Schizosaccharomyces pombe: one gene and its partners. The gene in region 1 interacts genetically with each later gene. Each region holds a gene or a part of one and is shown on either strand. Other genes may lie near its edges. The genes, in order: och1, gms1 and alg3.

Evidence for each region.
Region 2: of och1 (region 1) and gms1, changing one enhances a phenotype caused by changing the other (phenotypic enhancement), as found in Schizosaccharomyces pombe (one study listed by BioGRID).
Region 3: mutations in och1 (region 1) and alg3 impair growth when combined (synthetic growth defect), as found in Schizosaccharomyces pombe (one study listed by BioGRID).

Annotation. Positions count from the first base shown.
Region 1 is NC_003424.3:5,075,768-5,084,071, reverse strand, and holds och1 (Golgi alpha-1,6-mannosyltransferase Och1), read left to right. Parts: upstream 1-3,550; 5' UTR 3,551-3,695; coding exon 3,696-4,886; 3' UTR 4,887-5,783; downstream 5,784-8,304. Other genes in the region: RhoGEF for Rho1 Rgf2, read right to left, coding at 1-409, 465-2,967; protein mcp3, read left to right, coding at 6,078-8,304. UniProt on the Schizosaccharomyces pombe protein: Mannosyltransferase involved in outer chain elongation of asparagine-linked oligosaccharides of the type Man(9)GlcNAc(2). May otherwise add the first alpha-1,6-mannose to the Man(8)GlcNAc(2) core oligosaccharide from the ER.
Region 2 is NC_003421.2:990,085-998,196, reverse strand, and holds gms1 (Golgi UDP-galactose transmembrane transporter Gms1), read left to right. Parts: upstream 1-3,210; 5' UTR 3,211-3,392; coding exon 3,393-3,488; intron 3,489-3,663; coding exon 3,664-4,629; 3' UTR 4,630-5,319; downstream 5,320-8,112. Other genes in the region: mitotic spindle checkpoint protein Mad3, read right to left, coding at 1-509; vcx1 (CaCA proton/calcium exchanger), read right to left, coding at 1,381-2,254, 2,311-2,675; proteasome core particle subunit alpha 7 Pre10, read right to left, coding at 6,569-6,746, 6,813-7,295, 7,345-7,442, 7,482-7,484. UniProt on the Schizosaccharomyces pombe protein: Essential for the transport of UDP-galactose into the lumen of Golgi apparatus.
Region 3 is NC_003424.3:2,622,833-2,630,684, forward strand, and holds alg3 (dolichol-P-Man-dependent alpha(1-3) mannosyltransferase Alg3), read left to right. Parts: upstream 1-3,567; 5' UTR 3,568-3,750; coding exon 3,751-4,971; 3' UTR 4,972-5,450; downstream 5,451-7,852. Other genes in the region: dfg10 (steroid dehydrogenase), read left to right, coding at 1-658; oligosaccharyltransferase subunit Ost4, read right to left, coding at 1,108-1,206; SPOM_SPAC7D4.08 (uncharacterized protein), read right to left, coding at 2,210-2,500; cytosolic thioredoxin Trx1, read left to right, coding at 2,625-2,936; SPOM_SPAC7D4.05 (hydrolase), read right to left, coding at 6,541-6,987, 7,077-7,153, 7,189-7,351; autophagy associated protein kinase regulator Atg11, read right to left, coding at 7,757-7,852.

The DNA of each region.
Region 1 (8,304 bases):
AAAGTTGCTTGATTGCCAAAAGGCTTTTTTAGAGACTGGGTCTTTTTGTTCTTCAAGGCACGATCAGCCTCATAAATCCTCAATGTAGTATTTAAAACGGTGGACTTTACCGCACAGACTAAAATTCTTTGCATACAAAAACCTGTTTTGACGAAACTAACATGACCTGTTACACGTCGCAAAGACTTTGAATTAATTTGTTCTACTGAATCAAGAGCGTCCAGAGGTAACTCGTACAAAATCTTCTCGGCTAAAAGCAATAGAACGTTATGTTCCTCAATTACATCTAGTTGAGAGATATTTGGTAATTGCAGCTTGAAAATGGGTTCAAGACAACTGCCATTATTACTTTTTCGAGAAGAGATATATAGTCCCTTGTAAGTTCCAAATAGTAATTTACGGCCCGCATCTAAAGAGCTGTTAACAAACATTTACTTCTTTAACATATTGTTTATTATACTTACCATAGGCAACGGCACATAATAACTTGTTGCCGGTAAACCAGGACTGACAACATATGCCTCGACTTTCAAATACCAAATGACGCTTTCGAATGATATCTTGCTGTTTCTCAATGTGTTGTTTCCATTGGTCTCTAGCAATCAGTGTATTGAGATAAAGACTTATAGAAAAACCACGGGCTCCAATAAATACTAACTGCAAACCGTATGCTTTAACAGGAGGTGGATTACTTTTTGTAATTGAAATTGGATTAGTTAACAAAGCAGAAGATGGTCGACGCGGAAGGCTACCTCTCGATGGCGAGTCTTCGATGTAAGAAATCGACAACAATTCTAAAGGTAATGGCCTGAGATGCAGTTTATGAACTCTTCTTTTCATTTGAATCTTTATCTTACACAACAAGAGAAAATTGTCCAGTAAAAACATGTGAATGTCGTTTTCAGTGTCCCCATTCGAATAACTACTGGCTTTTAGCTTGACGACGCCTTTGAAAATCAATAAGCGAGATGGATCAAACAATGTTAATTTTGCTCGATCCGCAGGGCTGCAGGAAAGCTGTTCGTTTAACTGTAACAACGAGAGTCTATTTTCAGTCTTCCCTGTTTCATAGTTAAGCTTAGTAAGAAATTCACGAATCATTTCGATTACACGAGGAATGTTTTCCGTATCAGGATTATCTTTATCAGTGTACTTAAGAACTCCACTTAATAGTAGCGGATACCTCGCAAGGCGAGTCGTAGGCTTGGTCAAATAACCATTAAGTTCTAGTTTTCTAGACTCTCGTAATCTTTCCACTTCATGAACATAATTCGCAAAATTCCTATTCGTACTTTTTTCACGCTCAAATTCAAACTTGGCAATAGCCTGATTGGCACCATATTTTATAAAAGGCTCAAATTTAGGAACATAATCTAAGAAAAGATCACCAATTGTGTTAACTACAGGTTGCAGAGTTTGAGTACGGTTTAGAGCATTTGACAAACGAGAATTGACAGCATGGATTTGCATGATATTATGAAAAACGCAACGTATAAATTGTTGTCGGTTGTTTTCTGGTATTACATTTGAGGTTGAAAGAGGCTTAATCCAAAAGTCACGTATATACTCTAGGTCTCTGACGAAGTCCCGTTCTGTGTAAATAACCTCAAAAATGATTTCCTGTCTTTTCCATTCACGGACATCGATCTGGTCTACAACTTGCTTAGGAACATTTTCCGACCATAAACGATGATCTTCCTCTTGTTTATCTGTAATCGAAGTTGATCCCCCACTTAATACAGGTTGGACCTTCAAATGGAGACGGGCCTGCTGCTCTAGTCGACGTGGGCAAGATATAGAATAGCAAAGGCGATTACGAGAACATGTAGAGGAGTAGCATTCCGTTAAAAGAGTAAACACTCCATGAGGATTGTATTCGGTTTCAGGAGCTTCAGGCTCCTTAGTAATTGCGCTTAGGGATGAGGTGATGAAAGCTAAAGAATTTACCTGTACAGACGAGGAGATGGTAGGTGTCGTAGAAGAATCAGATAAAACAGAGTCAAATGAATCAGACGTGTTCGCTCTTCTTTTTGTGTAGAGAAAGTTATTTTCGATCGACGATCCATTGGAATCCATCGAGGAGAGACCAGGAGGAGGAGAAATGATACGTCGGTACTGGTAAACTTCCTTGAGCGAGTCGCGAAGTCTATGAGAGTAAGTAACGTCATGAAACATCTTTTGCGAATCCAGGGCTCTTCCTAAAAGTAACGCCAAATTCCTGTCAGTCGTCCGAACTATATGCATCAATACATCGACAGCTTCCGATCCAAGAAAGGCATCTTTATAAAGAAGACCATCCTTCACACGGTCACCGATGTTAAGACGCTTTCGGAACTCAACGGCGACTTGAGAAAGAAAAGCCGGATGTATATAAGGGCGACGAGATGAGGTAGAATTGGAATGCGAAGGGGCGATGTTCGAAATCGCAGATGCAGACTTGGAGCCTGAGTGATGCTTAAGTAAGACGGCAGTTGATCCTTCAGGAAAAGATGGCATGGGTGCATTAACATGGACGCTATTTTTTCGAATGTTAGGATAAGAACTGCCATTAGATACATCAGAGACGGAAAACGACTGGCGAGTATGGGGTCTACCGAGCGATTGTATTTCTTTCCTACTACGTGCATGAGAAATGCCAAAATCATCTGTGGAGGAAGAACGGCGATAAAAATTATTTTTTTTATTAACTTCTAAGCCATCTCCAGGACCCGAATCTTTTCTGGATAGCGAAGAGGGAGAAAAGCTAAGGCTCGATGCAGGACGAAAATGATTGCCATCATTTTCATTAAGGGATGTGGTAGATGATAAAGCGGTAGGAGAATGTGTGATAGAGCCAGAACTCCTTCTTTGGAACAGTTTTTGGCTACTGCTAAATGATGAAAAAATACGAAATCCTTTAGCTGCTTTACCAAACGATTCATGAGACTCAGAGTTTATATTTCCATTCTGAGCTCCATTGCGAAGCATTTTCTTGTTTGTTGATTCTAATTTTACTACCCTCTCGAGGTATCGCAAGTTTTAGAAAAACGGCGCTATGCAAAGGGGCTTTTCTGATACCAATCGTCCGTACCGACACAACAACAGAAAGAGAAGAAAGATATTTTTCAAATTCAAGTAGTACCTTTTTTTTTAACGCTCCAATTACTTTCAACAATAAAAGGTTCTACAAGACAAGTCGTCTTATTTGAACATGGAAACTTCACCAAATTCCTCTTATTATACACGAGAAGCCGGAGTACGTATATTAATGCCAATTCTCCGGCTTTCCAATTATTCAAACAGCTTGGATACTCAAAAGAACGGATTTGAAGTGGATCGCTGCTTACACTTCTATATTATGGGTGGTGCTTTGGGTAACCTTTTTCTGTTATTGTGTACATACACCTAACACACACCGTTAACTACAGCCGACAATACTTGGACTGATATTACGCACGGTACCGCAATCAAGTGTGGCTGTTGCTATTATAGAGTAATATCACATTAAAGCCCTTCGATTTTCGGGTCGCTTGTGCGAAGTTAAAGTAAGAGCATCTGCGCAAACTCAGCCAGAGCGCCCACCTGTGTTTTGCTGCGATTCTATGAAAAACCGCAAAATCTGTATCCTAGCTGCATTAAGTACACATTAATGAGTCTTTGTTAACGAACTAAGTAATTAATTGATACATTGAGCATTAGCATATAACGAGTTCAGCATGTTGAGACTCCGATTGAGAAGTATTGTAATAGGAGCTGCGATAGCGGGATCCATACTGTTGTTATTCAATCATGGTAGCATAGAAGGAATGGAAGATTTGACAGAGATTTCGATGTTGGAGGATTACACTCCGGAAGCCGCTAATAAAGATTATGTTGGTCAACAGGAGGAGGAGGAACTTTTGTATGATCAACCGTCTTACATTGAAGAAGAAGAAGATCCAGATTTGGAAGCTTACTTGAGCGATTTGGAGAGGGAAGAGCTGGAACACAGCTTGGAAGAACTTGATGAAGAAAATAATTATAAACTTCATCTACGGTACTCCTTTTCACAGCTTCAAGATTTTGACGAAGAAAATGAAGCTGTACACATGATCGTTCCTAAAGATACTTATGAATTTGAGGTGCCTTATCACGCTGACATTCCCAAGTTAATATGGCAAACTTCCAAGGACCCTTTTGATAGAGAGGTTATGAAGTACACTCGGTTTTGGAGAATCAACCATCCCAGTTATTCTCATGCTGTTTTAGACGATGAGCAGTCTAAAGCATTGGTCATCAGTAGCTTTGGCGATTCATCAGTTTCCAAGATTTCACAAGCGTATGCAATGATGCCTCTGCCTGTTCTGAAGGCCGATTTCTTTCGGTATCTAGTGTTATTGGCAAAAGGTGGTATTTATAGCGACATTGATACGGCACCATTGAAGCATATAAACAATTGGATCCCTCGTGAATATCGTAAGCGTAATATTCGACTGATCGTTGGCATTGAAGCAGATCCCGACCGCCCTGATTGGAACGACTACTATGCCAGGCGTGTACAATTCTGTCAGTGGACCATAGCTGCTGCACCAGGCCATCCAATTCTTTGGGAACTTGTTCGTAGAATTACCGATGAAACTTGGAAGCTGCATGATTCAAAGAAGCTTTCGAAAAATGGCGAGTCAGTAATGGAGTGGACTGGTCCAGGTATTTGGACCGATGCCATTATGGATTATTTAAATTGGCAGTATGGCCCTTTCTCGGTTGAGAATATCACCAATTTAGAAGAACCTTATCTTGTTGGAGATGTTTTAATCCTACCCATAACTGCATTTAGTCCTGGTGTCGGTCACATGGGTAGCAAGTCTCCAAATGATCCGATGGCGTATGTTCAACATTTCTTTGCCGGTTCATGGAAAGATGATTGATCGTTTGAAATGTGGGTGGGTGGTCATTTCTTGGTATAATGTGCTTAAAGTGTTCGAACCGGGCAATTCGATAATACTAAATACACGCATTTGATCTGGTTTGGAAACTGTTACGGGTTGTGTTCGAGCAATTTTTGTAAATTATAGCTTGCGCAAACAAAAAAGTTTCTTTCGTGGTTGATTTAATCTTTCCCTCATAATTCTACATCTCTTTACGATTAATTTTGCATGTATTTTGTACGTTAGCCAATCAAGTTGGCAATATTGGTGACATTATTGAATTATATGAAGCCAATGCTTATGTCCTGATGATCAACTTTCTTTTTTTTTTTTTTTTCAGCGCTTTCATCAACGCGTTTTATAGCTCAGCACTATAATATTTTCCCTTGTAAACTGTTTTGAATTCTAAAGCTGTTTGTTTCTTTCAATAATTTTATAAAACTTTTGCGCTGATCACAATCAGTCTTTTTCAATTTTTTTCTCTTTTGTGATGGTATATTGACCCCAAAGCGTTTCTGTATACTTAGGTGAATTATCAAAGTAGTACAGAGATTATGCCTAAGATTTGAAGATGAATGATAAACCTGTTTCGGCTTTGTAATTACTTTATGTCTTTAGACTTGCATGAATGCTTCTTGGGATTAAAGGACCTCATATTTCTTCATTAAATTTTTGAGGTTTGTCTCTCTTTCTTTGCAACTACATTTTTTTTCAGAAGGTGACTTTATTTTGCTAGTAGTATTAGCGCTGTATTCTATAATATTTGTTTACTTTGGACCGACAAAGTTCATCACTTTACAGCTTCAACTATACATTATTTTTATTATAAATAAATAGACTGAAAAGTGTTTCAATAATTGAATAAACTTACTATTATCTTTTAAAGCTATGCTAACGCCCTTGCTTTGAATACCTTAGAACATTAAACACCCATATAAGAAGTTATTGTAGTGTTTATTTACCTCCATTTCCCACTGTCACAAACACGATTGTTGAGTGCATTTACAACCTGAAGGTTTAATGCTTTTCCTAATTGATGTTAAAAGTATTTCTTTTTTCCGTTATTTCTTTTCTATAAGTGCAGGATTTACATCTTCGAATTAGAAGCATCGTTGATAAATCTTACAATTGGTAGATTGCTTGCTCAAAATTATATTTTAGAAAAGCCTAACTTATTTGATTAAATACTTAATGACTAAAGAAACTCACGAAAATCATTTGCGTACGCATAACGGGATATTTCCTGTTTCTTTGCTCTCAACTCAAGCGCGTCAACTTTTGAATTTCAAGCTAAAGAGTCCTTCCTATTATCTTTTAAACAGTTTTAAACTCTTAGTTAAATCGGAAGGGAATAATCAATCAACCACTGCAGATGTAACTTTAACAAAATCACCAAATGCTTATCATGCTTCCAGCGCTAGAGAAGAGAAAGATTTACAAGTTTCTCGGCGGGATACTTGCTTTTATTGCAGTAGAAAAATTATCAAATGCATATGCAACGAAGAACACGTTGGGATTGAATCAGTTCAGCTTAAACTTATACTTCTATTGTGCCAAAATCTACCAAATGTTACTACTAATGCAAAAAAATATTTCAGTTCACTGGCTGATGGCCATAATTTCACTTTGACGCTTTATAAATTTTCTTTAGATAACCAAACATTTTCTCAATTACTTTCTCGATTTAAATCTTTTGCTACTTTGACTGAACTACTTCAAGTGCACAATGTTATGCTTCAAGTAAACTTTTCCTTTCAAGCAAGGCAACTAAACACAGAAATTCAACTACGACGATGCCATTCGTTAGAAAAAACATGGAAATTCTTATTTGGCGATTATGAATTACCTGATGTTCTAAAAGATATGGAGTCATCGAATAGTGATTGGAGTGACACATCTCTGAAACGAATTGCCTATTTATGTTCTCTTGTTGAGGAGCTCAAACTTCATTCTTCTATTATGAACGACAAGTATGTGTGCCTTGTGTCCAAGCATAACAACGCATTGGAAGACAAGTTTAACAGTGAAGCCGCGCGTCAGTTGTTGCAGAAATCTCTAAGTATAGTAGCGTCAAATTTGAAACAAGCCGAAAATAAAACTATCAGTTATGAAGAAAAGCTTTCTATAGCTCAAAATTCTATTAATGAAATTCAAACCCAAAACAGGGATTTAAAACTTGAAACCGAGAAGTTACAGGATCAAATCAAAGCGTTGCTAGAAAGAAATCAGTCATTGCAAGAAGCTCTAGAAACTGTTAAAAATGATGAAAAAAATCTGAGAGAAATGAACGCCAATTATGAAACCGAGATGAAAGAAGCGCGTCAAAAGTTAAACAACAAGGAGGCATTAATTAGTCATTATGATGATGATTTTCGAGCAAAAGAATTAAAAATTTCAAGACTTTCCGAAAGTCTTAGAGAAAAAGCAGGCTTATTGGAGTTTCAGTCTTCTGTTAGTGAACAAAGGGATCTACTTTATCAAGAACAAATACAGTCGTCAATAAAGGATATGGAGAATGTATTTCGAAAAAATGAATATCTTATGGAAGAACTTAATGAATTAAAGAACAATCTTGAAGTGGAATCAAGTAAGGTTTTGAGACTTGATGAAGAAATGAAATGCCTAAAGGATGAGCAACTCTCTCAATTTGACACGGTCTTTAGTTTGACTGATGAACGGGATGGATTACAGAAGGATTTAAAAAACACTAAGGGAAATCTTGACGATGAAATCGGGCGCTCTGCATTTTTAAAAAGCCAAATCAGGGATCAAGAGCTAACTATTGAGAAGCTCCATGACAGTTTGGAGACTTTAAGTCAAACTAACAATAGTTTACAGTGTGAGATTTCTGAAAAGAATGCAGAGTTAAATTCAGTAAACTCCAAACTTTCTGAAGGTAGAGCACACCTGGAAACCGCGAATAAGGAGAATGAGATATTGAAGCAGCAATTGGAGTTAAGTGAATCCAAATTAGCCAGTTTGTTAAACTCTTATCAATCATTTATTAATAAAAAAGAGCACCTCTATTCTTTTTTACAGCTTGTCGAGCCATCGTTCGCTAAAAGTGATTCATCTAATGCTACCGAATCCCAAATTTCCGAAAGTGTACGAAAAGGAATTTCAATATTTAATCTTTTGTTCATTGTTTACAAAAACGTATGCTCTCAAGCTGGAATTAATCCATCTACAAAGCTTGAAGATCTTGATGAACATACACTTTCTGATGAGCTGACTTATATAACAAAAAAGTTTGTACAAAAGGATCAAGAATACCAAACGAAGGAAATCGAGTTAAGGAATTATAAAATTACTCTTCAGTCGTTACTTGAAGATAAGCTTATCGGTGTAAATACTGATTGCAGATCACCTTCTTGTTCAGACTTTGAGCAACTAGGGCAAGAAAGCGAAAATAATACTT
Region 2 (8,112 bases), on another chromosome or scaffold:
TCAGCTTTTTGAAACAATCCCCTAGACTCGAAATAATTTGCGTATTCCTCATAAAAAATCGAGGACTCCTGTCCAATATGATGATGTGCCAAGAAAGAAAATAATTCAACCGGTTCGTCTATATAGTTTACATATTGCATCCATATTCGTAAATACCGAACATCATCTTTATAAAGCGGATTTCGTACGAATTCTCGAGTACACCTTTCTAACAATGTTACCAGTCCACTAGTTTTTGTTTCACCTTGAGGGAAATTATCCAAGGTCCATTTAATATAATCGATCCAAACTTGTAGTGGATCATCAAGAGACTCGCTCGTCTCTATTTTTCGTTCATGGCCCATCCTTTCTTTTTGCAGACCAGCAACTTCTTTTTCGGTGTGGTTTCGCGACGAAGATTTTGCAAGTGCAGAAGCTGAATGACCAGCTTTTCTAGGCTCTATGTTTTCCTTGGACTGCTCAATGACATCCATATGCACCCAGTTCTTGCCAGCATCTAATGGTTCCATTTGTAGTCAATGTCTTCCAAAAAATTAGTAAACCTTTTCTAGAGAACCCTATACCTTCCACTAAATGAAAATAAATAAAACAAAGAAGGAGATGTGAGTGTAGTAGTATTGGAAAGTTTATTTAGACAAGTACAATTCTATTGAAAGAACGAAAATAGCCAGTATATAGTTTAATAGAAGGTGTACTGAAAGCTTTTGTATAAAATTAAAAGTGTCAACACTCAAAGAGCAAGAGTAGGAATGTATGAAAGATTGTGCGTAAATTAGAAGGTAAGTGCCAACTTGACGCTGGGGGAGGGTATCATACTTACGCCTGGAAGAGTCCAATGAAAGAGATAAGAAGTTTTTTCTGTTTCTTCGAATATACAGAAACAGAAGAAGAATTAAAATTAACCACTTCACATACTAATGGCTTGTATTATTAAATCATGTAAAACACAACCTACAAAACAACTAATAAAAATAAACAAAATGAAGATTTATAAACAACGATTTACAAGAGTTTATTCAAAAATTAATTTTCTATTTTCATAGCTGGTAAGACACATGAAACTGAGACTGAAGAATGAGCGACTTAAAAAGCTACTGTAAACAAGCAGATATTGGCTTGACCTGCAATAGAAATTTAGAGTTGTGTAGTCATTGCGAAAATGGGAGATTTCTGCATAATTTAACACTTGCATACTAAAAAATAAGTCTGCAAAATATCCTTGTAACAGAAACCAAAAAAAAAAAAAATCTAGTATAAAAAAATAAGAAATCAATAAGTTCGGTATGATAGTTTCGTAAAGTAAAACACAAAGAAATCAAGAGAGTATATCAAGCACATAAGAGTAGACATAATAAGGAACTAGCGAGGGAACGACAAAATTTATTGAGGGTAGTAGAAAAAGGCGAGAACAACAATCGCATACAAAGCAAGTAATTGAACACCTTCAAGCCAATGAGTAGCACCATCTTGTATCAAGTAATTAACCAAGAAAACAGACACAAATAGAATAACTGTTTCCAATGATTCAAAGTAAAGTGTTAAAGGTTGGGAGATGATCCATCCGACGATTACCAAGAAGGGAGCTAAAAACAAAGCAATCTGAATACTGGAACCAATAGCAACACCCAAAGCCAAATCCATTTGTCCTCGGTAAGATACCACGATTGCAGTAACATGTTCGGCAGCATTTCCTACAACAGGAAGGATGACCAAACCAACGAAAGTTTTTGAAATGTTAACTTCCTCAACCAATTGGTCTATCGAACCTACTAAATAGTCTGCGCAAAGAGAAACAAAAACCGTGACGATAGCAAGCATGGCAATGGATGAACGAAGGCCTAAAATTCGAGGTTCAGTTTCTTCTTCCACTTCACTGGGATCATGACAGACATGCTTATGAGTCTTTAATTGGAAAACTAAAAGTAAAACATAGACGATGAGTACAATAACAGCAGTTCCACGAGAGACATGGAGAAGCGCATTTTCGCTATTAGCGTTGTCGGGAAGGCTGTAATGGAAAGTCGCAGGAATCAATATGGTAGCAGTAGATAAAGCAAGCATTGCAATCATAGTTTGTGCAACAGTGATATTAAATGTGGTAATTTCACGACGAATACCAGTAGTTACGAGACACATTCCAAAAACAAGAAGCAAGTTGGATAATATTGATCCGAGAAGGGACGATTGAACGATGCGGAGCTCTCCTCTTTTCAAAGCAAGAACGCCTACAATGAGCTCGATGGCATTTCCAAAACTGTACACAACGTGTTAATAAAATAACAAAAGAAGACGATAAAGTAGGAATCTTACCTAGCATTCAACAATGCTCCCAATGTTGGTCCGCTAATTATAGAGAGTTGTTCAGTAGCAAAGCTAAGCAAGGATGCAAGGGGGATAATAGCAAGCATGTTAAGTATGAAAACAGATTTAGCGTTCCATTCAAACCATCCTGCAATTAAGCCGATCGGAACAAATACCAACATCAAGTTAAAGTAGCTAGACATCAAAACAGATTTGGTCATGCCGACCACGTTTAAAAGCGACAACTGACGAGCCATAGAGTGGTCATACTCTGATCCCAAGAGAGGGGCTCGTTCATGTCTATCCTGGGCGGGAAAATTAAAAGAATTCATAGCTTCAAGTCTGTTCTTAGCAATCTTTAATCTCTCAATCATGTTAGTCCAATTCAACTAATGTCAAGTTCGGCGGCTACTTATAGGACCCGTTTATACGATATTTTGCAAACCGAATACCTCTATGTATAAGCCAAAGATTTGAGGATTCATAAAACTTTAACTTACCAACTATAACAGTCAAATGATCTAACCTTCGGCTATCAAGGGGAATTCCGTTATAACAATCTGATATCCCTGTAAATCCTGAAAGCAAATAAAGACTCCAGAAGCAATCAAAATCGTAGAATTTTTACCCTATATTTCTAAAAAATTAATGCACTTTAAAGAAAATACAGAAATATGAGAAAACAAGAATCGTTTAACGCTTGCAGTCGGATATCAGCATGTATGTACTCAACGCGTTCGAATGCACAAACCCGCTTTGTCACATGTTCGTGGCAAATGCAAAACTTAGCTTAACGTGGCTATCTTCCAAATTTGTTGGTGTTCATAATGACCCTTTATCGATTTTACCTCGTGCTCCGTAAATCAGTTGGATACTATAAAGGCTTGGGCAGTTAGTTCTTGTCGTACCAGCAGCCAACACGAACGTGTTTTACTATTAACCGGATTGAGCGTATTAAGTATTGGAGGTTTTTAATTTTTCTTGCAAATTCTTAATTCGTTAACTACCTTTTGCTTATATTAATATTTCATTAAGTCCGAGCACTTCACATCTTTACAAGTGTCTAGTCTAATACCAGTAATATTGAGAAAATGGCTGTCAAGGGCGACGATGTCAAATGGAAAGGTATTCCAATGAAATACATTGCATTGGTACTTTTAACAGTGCAAAATAGTGCATTGATTTTGGTAAGTAGTCGCGGTTTTTTTAGGAAGTCTTGTGAATTTCTCTGGTTTGTGGAGTATATGGTCAATCTTCTTATAGAAACACGCATGTCTCCCACTTTTTTTTAGAAAAGCTTCGCTGTTTTTATGTAGAAATATATTTCTGTTTTTCCTATTGTACATGCTAATGGTTAAATAGACACTTAACTATTCTCGAATCATGCCTGGATATGATGATAAACGTTACTTTACATCAACTGCCGTCCTTTTAAACGAACTTATTAAACTAGTTGTTTGCTTTTCGGTTGGCTATCATCAGTTCCGTAAAAACGTAGGCAAGGAAGCAAAACTTCGCGCATTTCTTCCTCAAATATTTGGAGGGGACAGCTGGAAACTTGCAATTCCAGCATTCCTTTACACCTGCCAGAACAATCTTCAATATGTTGCTGCTGGCAACCTTACTGCCGCATCTTTCCAAGTTACTTATCAGTTGAAGATTCTTACTACTGCCATCTTTTCTATCTTACTTCTCCATCGAAGACTCGGTCCCATGAAATGGTTTTCTCTTTTCTTATTGACTGGTGGCATTGCCATCGTTCAGTTGCAAAATCTTAACTCAGACGACCAAATGTCGGCAGGACCTATGAATCCCGTTACTGGCTTTAGCGCTGTACTCGTCGCGTGCTTAATTAGTGGTCTAGCTGGTGTGTATTTTGAAAAGGTCTTGAAGGATACCAACCCTTCCTTGTGGGTTCGCAATGTGCAACTTTCCTTCTTTTCACTCTTCCCCTGTCTTTTCACCATTTTGATGAAGGATTATCACAATATTGCTGAAAACGGTTTTTTCTTCGGTTATAATTCAATTGTTTGGCTCGCAATCCTTTTACAAGCTGGAGGAGGTATTATCGTAGCTTTATGTGTCGCTTTTGCTGATAACATTATGAAAAATTTCTCAACAAGTATCAGCATCATTATTTCTTCTCTCGCAAGTGTTTATTTGATGGATTTCAAAATTTCCTTAACATTTTTAATTGGAGTTATGCTCGTTATTGCTGCTACTTTTCTCTACACTAAGCCTGAAAGCAAGCCATCACCATCAAGAGGCACTTACATTCCAATGACAACCCAAGATGCTGCTGCTAAGGACGTTGATCATAAGCATTAATTTAAGATGTTCTGTAATTCTCAAAGAATGTATTCTTTTTAATTTTCTTTTACATTTCGTCTTCAATGAGATCTCATCTTCGTTCATTTGTTTCCAAACGTGATAGAACAGGCTTGATGTTTTGTTAAGACAACTGCTCCCACTTTTTTTCGTCAATCGTTTTCTACATAGATCCTTATAAATATTCTATCTTTCCTTTGGGCACTTATTAGCAAAGCAGTGAGATGGTGTAGAGCATATTCCCAAATGTTCTTCAATTGATACTGTGAACTATTTAATTCATGTGAATCTACCAAAGCTTTTCAAACCCTACTGTCATTCTTCTAGTATTTAGCATCCTAACAATTTAATTCTTTTAATTTACTACTATTTTCGTTTAATTGCGAGAGAATTACCCAATTTCTTGTATCTGTTGGTTTCTATATTTTTCATCCCCATTCAAAATCGGCGGTAATGTTGGGTAGAAGCGGTCAATAAAACTTACAAATCTCAAGCTCACCGGCATTTTAAGGAATACTAGGCCCCTTTATTTATTTAATCAATTAGAAATAGATATTAGATATTAGGGAAAGAAATGAATTAATTAATTATTTTGTCTGGTGAGTAACGAACCCAATTCCTTATAATAAAGGCTCAAGAAGCCGCAACTCATGGTTTACAAATGGCAAATACAATAAGTATGGTAACCGCACAACTGTTTTTTACCGTTGCCACTCATCATGCTTATTTGGTTTAGATAATTGAAGAAATTTACCGTATATTGAAAAAAAGTAAACATTGCAATAAAAAACTATTAAAAGATTCTTTCAAGCTTGCTTAGTAAATACCGAACCTTTGTAAGTCACTTAATTTTAAATTGCGAATTATTGCGGCAAATCGTTCTTTCAGTTTAAAAAACCCTAAGGAATGTGACTGCCTTTGATCATGTGCTATATAAATACTGAATTTTCTTACTAGGGAACTACGAACAACGCTTATTATAACAGTCAAAATAAAAGTGCTGCGGATTCAAAACTTGATGCAGTAATATAAAAGATAATTTGAACTGAAGACTAAATTTATAAAAAGAGACGATTGGGTGAGATGGTTTTCTTTTTTTATGATAATCATCTCAATAATTGTCACTACATGAAATTAGATTTAAGAATGTTTTTTGTTTTGGAATAGTTGTTAATATTGAATTACATTATCGATTGACATTGATGCATAGTCAGTGATTGCCATCCGGTGTTCCTGTCTTAATTGGGAGCATAGGAAATGGATATTGTAGTTGTAAAATTAAATTGATTGGTACTTAATAGAAATGTGAAGTATTTCAGCAGGTTTGCTTTTGTTAATTCACTCAATAGTAAGTTCGGTGTATGATTATTAAACGATTTCGTGTTTACGATTTTGCATTAAAAAAATTGTAAGCTAAAATGAGTATTGCATTGGTTGCAAATAACTTTCTCATACAGCTGATATCATAATACACTTTCAAAAGTATACTCTACTTGTTATTAGGGATTTCACGCAATGCTAAAAATGTTTACTTGTTTAATATCACTGTGAAAATGTAGTAAATAGGTCAATACATATACACATTAAATATCAAATCGATAGACCCGAATTAAAGTTGGGAAGAAGATTATAACTCCAAAGATTTAAGGAAGTAGAATCTGCCATATTCTAACAAGATAAAAATGTTAATTCCTTAAACGGGTGTATTGATTCTATAAGAAAAGCGATAAAAGGAATCTATAGATAATCGTTCTCGTAAAATTGTTTATAATTGACGGTTACGGAAGATGGAATAGCTAATCGAGAGACAAAGACTTGGCTAAAATTTTGGAGGAAAAATAAGAAAAGGAGAGGAAGAGGTCAGTAGGGTAATAAAAAGGCATGAAGAGAGAATAAAAATGGGAAATCATAACATAGTATAATAGGAATCATATGACATTTACTCTTGCATAGCAATATCCTCTTCTTCGCCATCAGCAATCCGACGAGCATATGCTTCAGCCTCTTGCAAAAGCTCATCAGGAACGGGTGTATGAATACCGTTTGTTTCAACACCAACCCAAGTCATCTCAATTTCATGCTCTTTGTTGTTTTCTTCGTCATGAGTTGCGTATAATCTAAAAAAGAGTGAATTATTAGCAAATAGAATGAAAAAAAATTGTACTCAACAAAGCAAAACGTACATTCTAGCAGCTTCTTTAACCGCATCTTTCATTTTTAATGAGGAAAAATTCAGTTTTTCTAATTCGTTTCGAGCTACTTGCCGACCTTTACCAGCTGCAGCACCGTTGTAACCCCAATAAACACCATTAGGTTCAACCATATACAAATGTGGACCTTCTGAGTCATAAGTAGCAACAAAAGACATAACACCGAATGGACGGACGCTAGAATAGCAAGTGAAAAGTTGAACGTAGTTCCCCAAGCGATCAGCAATAACTGTTCCAGGGATGGGAGATCCGTAGTTATCTCTCCATGAGGTGGCTTCGTCCCTTGCACGTTTTACGATGTGTTGGCCATCAGGAATAAAGCCAGTAGTAGCAATACCAATGTGTCGATCGACCGACCCAATTCTGTTATTTACTCGCGGCTTAAGTAGTTTGCTAGTAACTACCTTTTCTAGAGCTAGAATAACTCCATCTTCACATTTTATTCCAATGCAAGTACTAAATACAATGTTAAAATCAATCGATAAGGAAATTCAATCCACCTTACCTTGCATTTTCGACGGCTTTATACGCGTACTCCGCTTGGAATAAACGACCATCCGGGGAGAAGAATAATCCTAAATCGTATCCAGTACCAATTGAACTCTGTTTGTTAATGTGATGTGCTACTCCTTGCTAACTTACCATTTGCTTATGTTGGTGGTAGTTGGCATGCGTAGACTGATGACTAGTCAGCAAGGAGCGTAGAACAGTCACACTCGTTATATATGTGCTTCCAAGAAAACTCAAGAATTTACCATTAGCAAACACTTTTTTGAAATGTTAGACATTTAAATGACGAAGGCATATAGAAGCTTTGAATAGGTGTTGTAAAGTGTTGATTTATGTGACGCTGAGGGTGCGCATGAAAGGAATGTTGGGTCACGATTATTAAACAGTTTGCTAGCTTGGACACTTGAGTATTGGAAGTTGTTGAATTCTAAAAAACTTTCAGTTGATTTGAATAGTTGCTGTTGCCAAAAAACATAACCTGTACCGAAGAACCATGCTGGACGTACGGGCGAACGCCGCACTTCCTCAAATTCAAACGCGTTGAAAAGCGCACAGCTCGTTGAGGGGGTAAGGTCGGAGAAACATCTTCGTTGCGTGCTCGTGAGGAGCGAAGAACGAACGTTCTGCCGAATGTACCAGAAATTCAATCAGTATGGCCTCGTTTGTCGTACCTGATTTTGAAACGCATTCGAGAAGATTTATTTTAGTGCAATGTGTGGCACCTGTTTGTCAGGTAACTCGATTCCGACTAATCTTGTCTGTA
Region 3 (7,852 bases), 2.5 Mb from region 1:
CAAGCTTGAAGTACCTAAACGGTGGTTTTGGCATTTTTACGCGTTTATTTCCCTCTTGAATCCATTGTTTACATTTTTTATCCTAAATACCAATTTTCCTATTCCTATATTTAAAAATATCAAAGAGGACTTGATGTACAGTAAAAAGCTACAAGTACTCCTACTAATTTATGAAATTCACACGCTGCGTAGATTATATGAGAATCTACGTTTTCGCAAAAGCGGTTCGAAAATGCTTGCTGGTCATTATTTATTGGGATACCTGTTTTACACACATACATTCCTTGCATTGCTTTTGTGCGGTAGAAGAAGTTATGAAAATACAATGTCAAGCATGCAATTTGTTGGTTTGGGGATTTACGCAATAGGCAGCATTTGGCAGAATGCAAGTCATGAACATTTGATTGCTCAAAAAAATCATTCGCAATATCTAGTCCTAAAAAAAGGATGTTTTAAATGGATAACTGGCCCCCATTACCTTGGAGAAATCATTGTTTATACTGGAATAGCACTGATTGCCCAACACTGGTTAATATGGCTAGTCTTGGGATGGGTACTTTGCAATATGGTAGCAATCTCTTCTTCTTATGCTTGTACGGTCAAGAACAAAGAACAAAGTTTGGACTTTCGGTGGACTCTTATACCTTTTCTATACTAAGAAAAGCGTGCCGTCAGGATACCGCGATTCTTATTGATTGTGTAAAATAACATTTATTAAAAAAAAAGATAATTTGTATTAATATTTAGTCGGGGTTTGAGAAGAGACGAACTTTAAAGATGTATTATTATTTTATGTTGCACTTTAGTACAAGCAACAGTAGATGATAAAAGTTATTTGGCCAGCATGTAGAAAATAGGGAAGGAAGGAAAAAGAGATAGGAAAATAAGAAAAAAGTAATACAAGTGTATCCAATATTTAACGGAACAAATAATAAGACATATTTTGTTTCGTAATATAATCATTTTGATATGCAGGTACAAATTCCATTTCACAACAATACCAAAGGTAACTTCCCTTAATTGAAAGAGTGACTAATTTAAAAAACGTAGACGAAGAGTGCAGCTATAAAGGTAAGTTAGACAAACAGACATGAATCTCTCTTTCTTTTATGCTTGAGGACGTGAAAGGTAATGGTAAAGGATGATTAAGAGCATCATGGAGATACCAAAGGTGGTAACGATATTTTGAAGTTGAACGTCTGTCATTTTTAAGATGATCCTTTGTAGGAAATGAGTTCTGATGCTTGTGCTCGGTACAAGTTGGGAATACAAGTATTTAGGTCCAAGCCTGAATTGCCGTGCATTCTCATAAAGTAACGAAGCACGGTTGCTACTTGAAATGTGAATATCAGTACTGCAGTGATGAAAAAGACTGCCGGTATATAAGGTAAAAGAAAGAAGAAAGAAAATTCATTTTACGGTACTTTCGAATTCTTTAATACATATTGCTGCTCAATAGCTTCTGGATGTCTAAAATGTGAATGCTTCGAAAGAGCGTAAAAAAATTTCAAAAAAAAAAATTTCTTCACCATCCCTATAATTGCCGTTGATTAAAAAAAAAAAAATGTAACTTTCTACTTTGTTAAAGCCAAAGTAGCTGTAGAAAAAGTGACTGTGGATGCGTATGTAAAAGGTTACCCTCTCAAGCTGAAAACTGCATTGTACTATTTCGCCATAACGTGAATTTGATATAAAGCGATGGTTCAATACACCGTTTCTAGAGGAAGTAGCATGGAAAAAACATAAATTAAAATATCGTTCATCGTTCTAACGAAAGTTCAGCTACCGCAAAGAATTATTTGACTGGCGATTAACTTTTTTTTGATTTCAGAATTTCAAGTATATGTGACACTGTTATAAACTGCATATTTATACTCCTTTTCCAATTTCTACCGCCATTTATATGTAAAATGGATTTTGTTAACAGTAGGAATATCGCCTCACTATTTTACATTTTTGTATGTCTTTTAATTTGTAATTTCATATCAGTACCTCAGTTGTTATAACAAAATTTTCTTAACATTACTTCGACTCCACTAACTAGATCGTGTACAGCAAAGAAAAGAGCACGCATAATCTTTCAGCTTACCAAAAAAAAAGAAAATCTTTACATTTACATACTTATTATTTTGATGCTTTAATTGCTTATAATCTCATGTTTGTCGAGAATCCACGATTAACAAGCTGACATAACAACAAGATGGCTTCTTTAGCTTTGTTTACTAATTGTCAGGTTTCCGATTTGTGATTCGTTGTAATTCCATGAAGTATTACTCCGAAATGCGTTATAGAAAATTAGGAAACGAATTGGTAGGTTGATGGCAGAGAATGGCACCATATCCTCGTTATTGTAGCTCATTACCTCATCGTCGGTGATTGCACAATGTACGCTCTCGATCTTTCTACTAGAATAAGCGAACTTATAAATTACACATTTTCTCAATAATATATAAACGGGCACGTCGCACCATCGTATAAGTATACTAGAGACAAAGTTCATTTGCACTCCTGAAGTCAACGTCTTTTGAATTTTTCAGGTTTACTTCTGTTTACTCGTTAAATCGATTTTTTCTTTATTTGAGTATATATTTTTAACTTAATTTCCCATTTCATTTATATACAACATGGTGAAACAAGTCTCCGACTCTTCTGAATTTAAATCTATTGTTTGCCAAGACAAGCTTGTCGTTGTCGACTTCTTTGCTACTTGGTGTGGACCTTGCAAGGCCATTGCTCCTAAGTTTGAGCAATTTTCCAACACTTACTCTGATGCCACTTTCATCAAGGTTGATGTCGATCAATTAAGTGAAATTGCAGCTGAAGCTGGCGTTCACGCTATGCCCTCTTTCTTCCTTTACAAGAATGGTGAGAAGATTGAAGAAATCGTAGGTGCTAATCCTGCTAAATTAGAGGCTTCTATTAAGGCGAACCTCTAATTTACGCAATCTGATAGTTAGTTGTTATGAACTTGTAATACAAAATATTTTTATTTAACAAAAATAAATGTTTTGCTTTTCTTTGTGTATGCACCGTTGTAATTTATTGGGAAAAGTATTTTTGTCCTAGCATCTTTTCTACTGAAGTTGCAGAACGGCGATTTGCGTACAATTATCGCAATAATAGTAATGTGCCATCGACCAGGCGTAGTAATCTAGTCATGGGCATTTTTCAGACAAGCTAGCTAATTTGCGACCGCCTTGAGCATTTGTAATATTTAATACGACTTTTTGGTTAGGCGTTCGTGACTCTGTTCTACATTATTCTCCTATCCTTCTAAGATAGACATTGGAGAGTGTATACCAATTTGGAATGATACCATTTGGATGAATAAATATCCTTTTTGATTACATGCTCAAATACATGCTACTCTTTATTTATAACATTATACAATTAACCCAACGAATATTTATGTTGATCTGAGTAGCAAACATATTTTTGTATTCTATTAGAATAAAATCTTTAATATTCTCGTTAAGTATTGTTTTATAACAATCAAATTTCACATTTATGGAGTAAAATCACAGTAATGATTACGCTCCGTCGACATGTTCTTAACACTTACATCCTAACATACATTGTTCGTCTAACGAGTTTCATTAAAAACACAATTTTTCTTAAACAAAAAGGAGTTCCTTTCTATGTGAAAGAACTCTACCAATTTTCCATTGTCTATAATAAGCGTTACTCTTAAAAACCTGGGATCTGTCTACATTATTTGCTAAAGTCTCGTATTTTATCAAAAGTTAACCAATGTCTTCAGTTGAGACAAGAAATTCTTTTAATCCTTTTCGGGTATTATTTGATCTTGGTTCCTATGGCTGGTTACATCCTTCAAGGCTCCTTCTGTTGGAAATTCCTTTTGTCTTTGCTATTATTTCCAAAGTTCCCTACACGGAGATAGACTGGATTGCTTACATGGAGCAGGTGAATTCATTTCTATTAGGAGAAAGAGATTATAAATCTCTTGTCGGATGTACAGGCCCTCTGGTCTACCCTGGAGGGCACGTATTTTTGTACACCCTTTTGTACTACCTTACTGATGGAGGGACCAACATTGTAAGGGCGCAATACATTTTTGCCTTTGTATACTGGATTACAACGGCTATTGTAGGGTATTTGTTTAAAATTGTCCGCGCTCCTTTTTATATATATGTTTTGCTTATACTTTCAAAACGTCTACACAGTATATTTATCTTACGTTTATTTAACGATGGATTCAACAGTTTATTCTCTTCCCTTTTTATTTTGTCTTCATGCAAAAAAAAGTGGGTTAGAGCTTCAATTCTACTAAGTGTCGCTTGTTCTGTCAAGATGTCCTCCTTGCTTTATGTCCCAGCTTATTTAGTTCTTTTGCTCCAAATCTTGGGGCCCAAAAAGACCTGGATGCATATTTTTGTTATTATAATTGTACAAATTTTATTTTCTATTCCCTTCCTTGCCTATTTTTGGTCGTATTGGACTCAAGCCTTTGATTTTGGCAGAGCATTCGATTATAAGTGGACAGTAAACTGGAGATTCATTCCACGCAGCATTTTTGAGTCTACATCATTTTCCACATCAATACTTTTTCTTCATGTTGCTTTGCTAGTTGCATTTACCTGCAAACACTGGAATAAACTGAGCAGAGCAACACCATTTGCAATGGTAAACTCCATGCTGACCTTGAAGCCTTTACCAAAACTCCAACTCGCAACTCCTAATTTTATCTTTACTGCATTAGCAACATCCAATTTGATTGGTATATTATGTGCAAGATCCCTGCATTATCAATTTTATGCATGGTTTGCTTGGTATTCACCATATCTATGCTATCAAGCTAGTTTTCCTGCTCCGATAGTAATTGGCTTATGGATGTTACAAGAATACGCATGGAATGTTTTTCCTAGTACTAAACTATCTTCATTAATCGCTGTATGCGTGCCGCTTATTACTATTTTGAAGCTATACACATCCGACTACAGAAAACCCTGATCCCTCTTTACTAATACGCAAAATAAACTTTATAAAAAGCTTAAACACTTCACTTTTAATTACTCATGGTTTTTAAAAAACAAAATTTTTAGTTTTTTCATTTGTGTACCGACTATAAATTTTTGAAAATTAACATCTTATAAAAACGAACATTAGTCTAATCTTTTAATTCGTATCTTTATGCCGTCATAATTCGATGAATATTCTCTTCAATGAAAATCTCAGGGGATTGACAGATTGATAAAAATTCATACATTTAATCATTCGACACTGAAATGAATTAGCACCAGTGTTTTTATCAAATGCTCATTATTACTTTTAAAAAAGCGTTTCTAAAATATAAAACAAACAGTTGCTAAGAACACAAGTGCTTTCCGCACAACTATTGCAAATATTAGAATAAACAAGTTGCTGATTTTATAGCTTGCACCATTGACAGTCACATTTTACTAAGGTTTCATTATATATTTCAGTTCCCTCGTTAAAGTAATTTTGTGATTTGCTGTTTATTTGCATAATGTGAACTTCTTAAGGATACATTCGACCGCTGTAAGCGCCTCTTGTCTGATGTAGCGTAGTATGGATTATGAAAAAAACATATTTAGCGTAACTTGTAATAGTTCTAATAAGCTAATAAGTAAAATCAACTTCTACCAGCTTCAACTGCACTTCAAAATATATTTTTCATAAAAGGTTTAGAATAATTGCTTTTTAAGGGAATGACTATAAACGCAGGCATACATGTGAGAAAGCAACTTTTATCTTACTATAGCTAGTGCAGCGTAATAAATATTTCTTTATATCAGCATATTGGCATTTCGAGGGAATAATGGTGAATATGTAAATGTCTTAAAAATATTAAATATAGAGCCAGTACTAATTGTTAAATAAAATTTAGATAATTTAAAAGCATAAATCCCTTTAGCTAAATAAATGCTTTATCGAATTTGCTCGGTTTGCGTCAGTTCTTCGAATTTCAATATTTATGAATAGAGTATACACTCCATTAAAGAAAAGAATTTTGTGAGCTACTCTGTATAGATTTTGAACCCGTAAAAACAGCAAATGCATAACTGAGCCCTAGATTGTTGGTCTAACGATTATTCTCGTAGCATGGATGCTAGACTTGGAATAACGCGACTAGAATGGTCATTCAAATTAGAAAATAAAAAGGATTGCTATTGCGTTTATCGGCATATTCTTCATTTTTTAAATTTTCGTTAGCATGCATATGCATTAGCCATTTCATGTTCATGTCTTTTCGGAATATTCATTGTTTACTTATTTGCGCCCTTGTATAATGAAAACAACAATAGATCAATCTCTAAAAAATTAAAAGGATCACATAAATATAATTTTTCTTCAATGTCAAAAGCTAGTACACAAAGGAACAACAGAGCTTTGTTGAAAATATAATCAATTTATACATTTATTAGAATTCTGACGAAATATTCATTTATAAGAAAAAATTATCATTTCAAATGTGAAACCTTTATTGTCACATTAGGTCCTTGAAGAAGGGGTCCAGATATGAATGTTGGATACGCGGTAAACCTGACTGCGTTTATTTTACTTCTGTTCAAAATATTTCAGGAAATTGGTTTTTATGTCACAGTATTCAGCATTCCATTGGATGTTTCTTGCTGCTGAAACATCTTTTATTAAATCATCCCCTAGGTGCATACATTCTTCTGGTTGAATCTCCTGTCCAAGAAGTTTAACAGCCTTTTCCATAGCATAATCAAATATTTCCCTGCTTGGTTTTTCAAATCCAACGTCGTACGAAAACGCATATATATCTATTAGATGATCTATGCCGTAATCTTCAAGCACTGTACGAATTCTTTCGTCTGTGTTTGAAATAATACCAATAATGTATTTCCTCTCTTCTTTATTTCTCTTAAGGAAATCAATCAGAAGAGGATGAATCGTGTAACCCGTCTTTTTGGAAAAGTAACTCCATAGCTCTTCAGCCATTTCTGCAGGAACAGGAGTTGGAAAAGAATGTTCGATAACCTAAAATTGTTAGCATGTAAAGGTTTTTTAGAAATCAAGAGATTCAATTCTTTACAAAACACAAATCTCAATGAAATTCAGACACATACTTTGATCCACCAGTCATGAGGATTTAATCCTGACTTTTTTCCATGATTCTTATGCTTTTCACTGAAATCCTTGAATGCTAAATTATTAGATAAATAGAAACCAAAAGCTAACCTTTATTACTATTGTGTTCAATTTCATCAATAGTTGCATGAACTCCATACTTCTGAGCGACTTCGCTGTACACAATTGGAACAGGTTTACTTAAATGAAGGATTGTTCCAAAAGCATCGAACGTAACCAACTTGATCTTTTGGATATTTTTTGAGGGAATCATAATTCCAGGTTGTACTTTGATGGGACACACTACACAAAGCAATTTACATAAGGTACTCCTTACCACCAGTGCGTTGTTCGGTGTGATAAATAATATTTGCAAATCACTTTTATTGCGAGCGATTGCGTTCTACATATTAAATAATATACGAATAGATTAAAAGTTCATTAAAAATTTATCATGTTACAAGACGAGAGACACGCTACAGCAATAGTAGTCGTTAATTTACGTCGGATACCTTACTAGGCGAGACCAAAAAACAAATTTCAGTAAATAATGCCATAACAGATCAAAACCTGAAAAAATAGAAGTATGATAATACCAAATGTCTGTCATATAGAATCAGTCCCACAAATACAAGCAAAGAAAAAGCAAGTGAAGGTATAAGCTAGGTCACATAATGATTTAAAATCTTTCATCGATAGCTTCCACTAAATGCCATATTGTACCTGAAGGCAGGCGAAGCCATTTATCCGTCGAATCATCAGCAGTACGATCTTC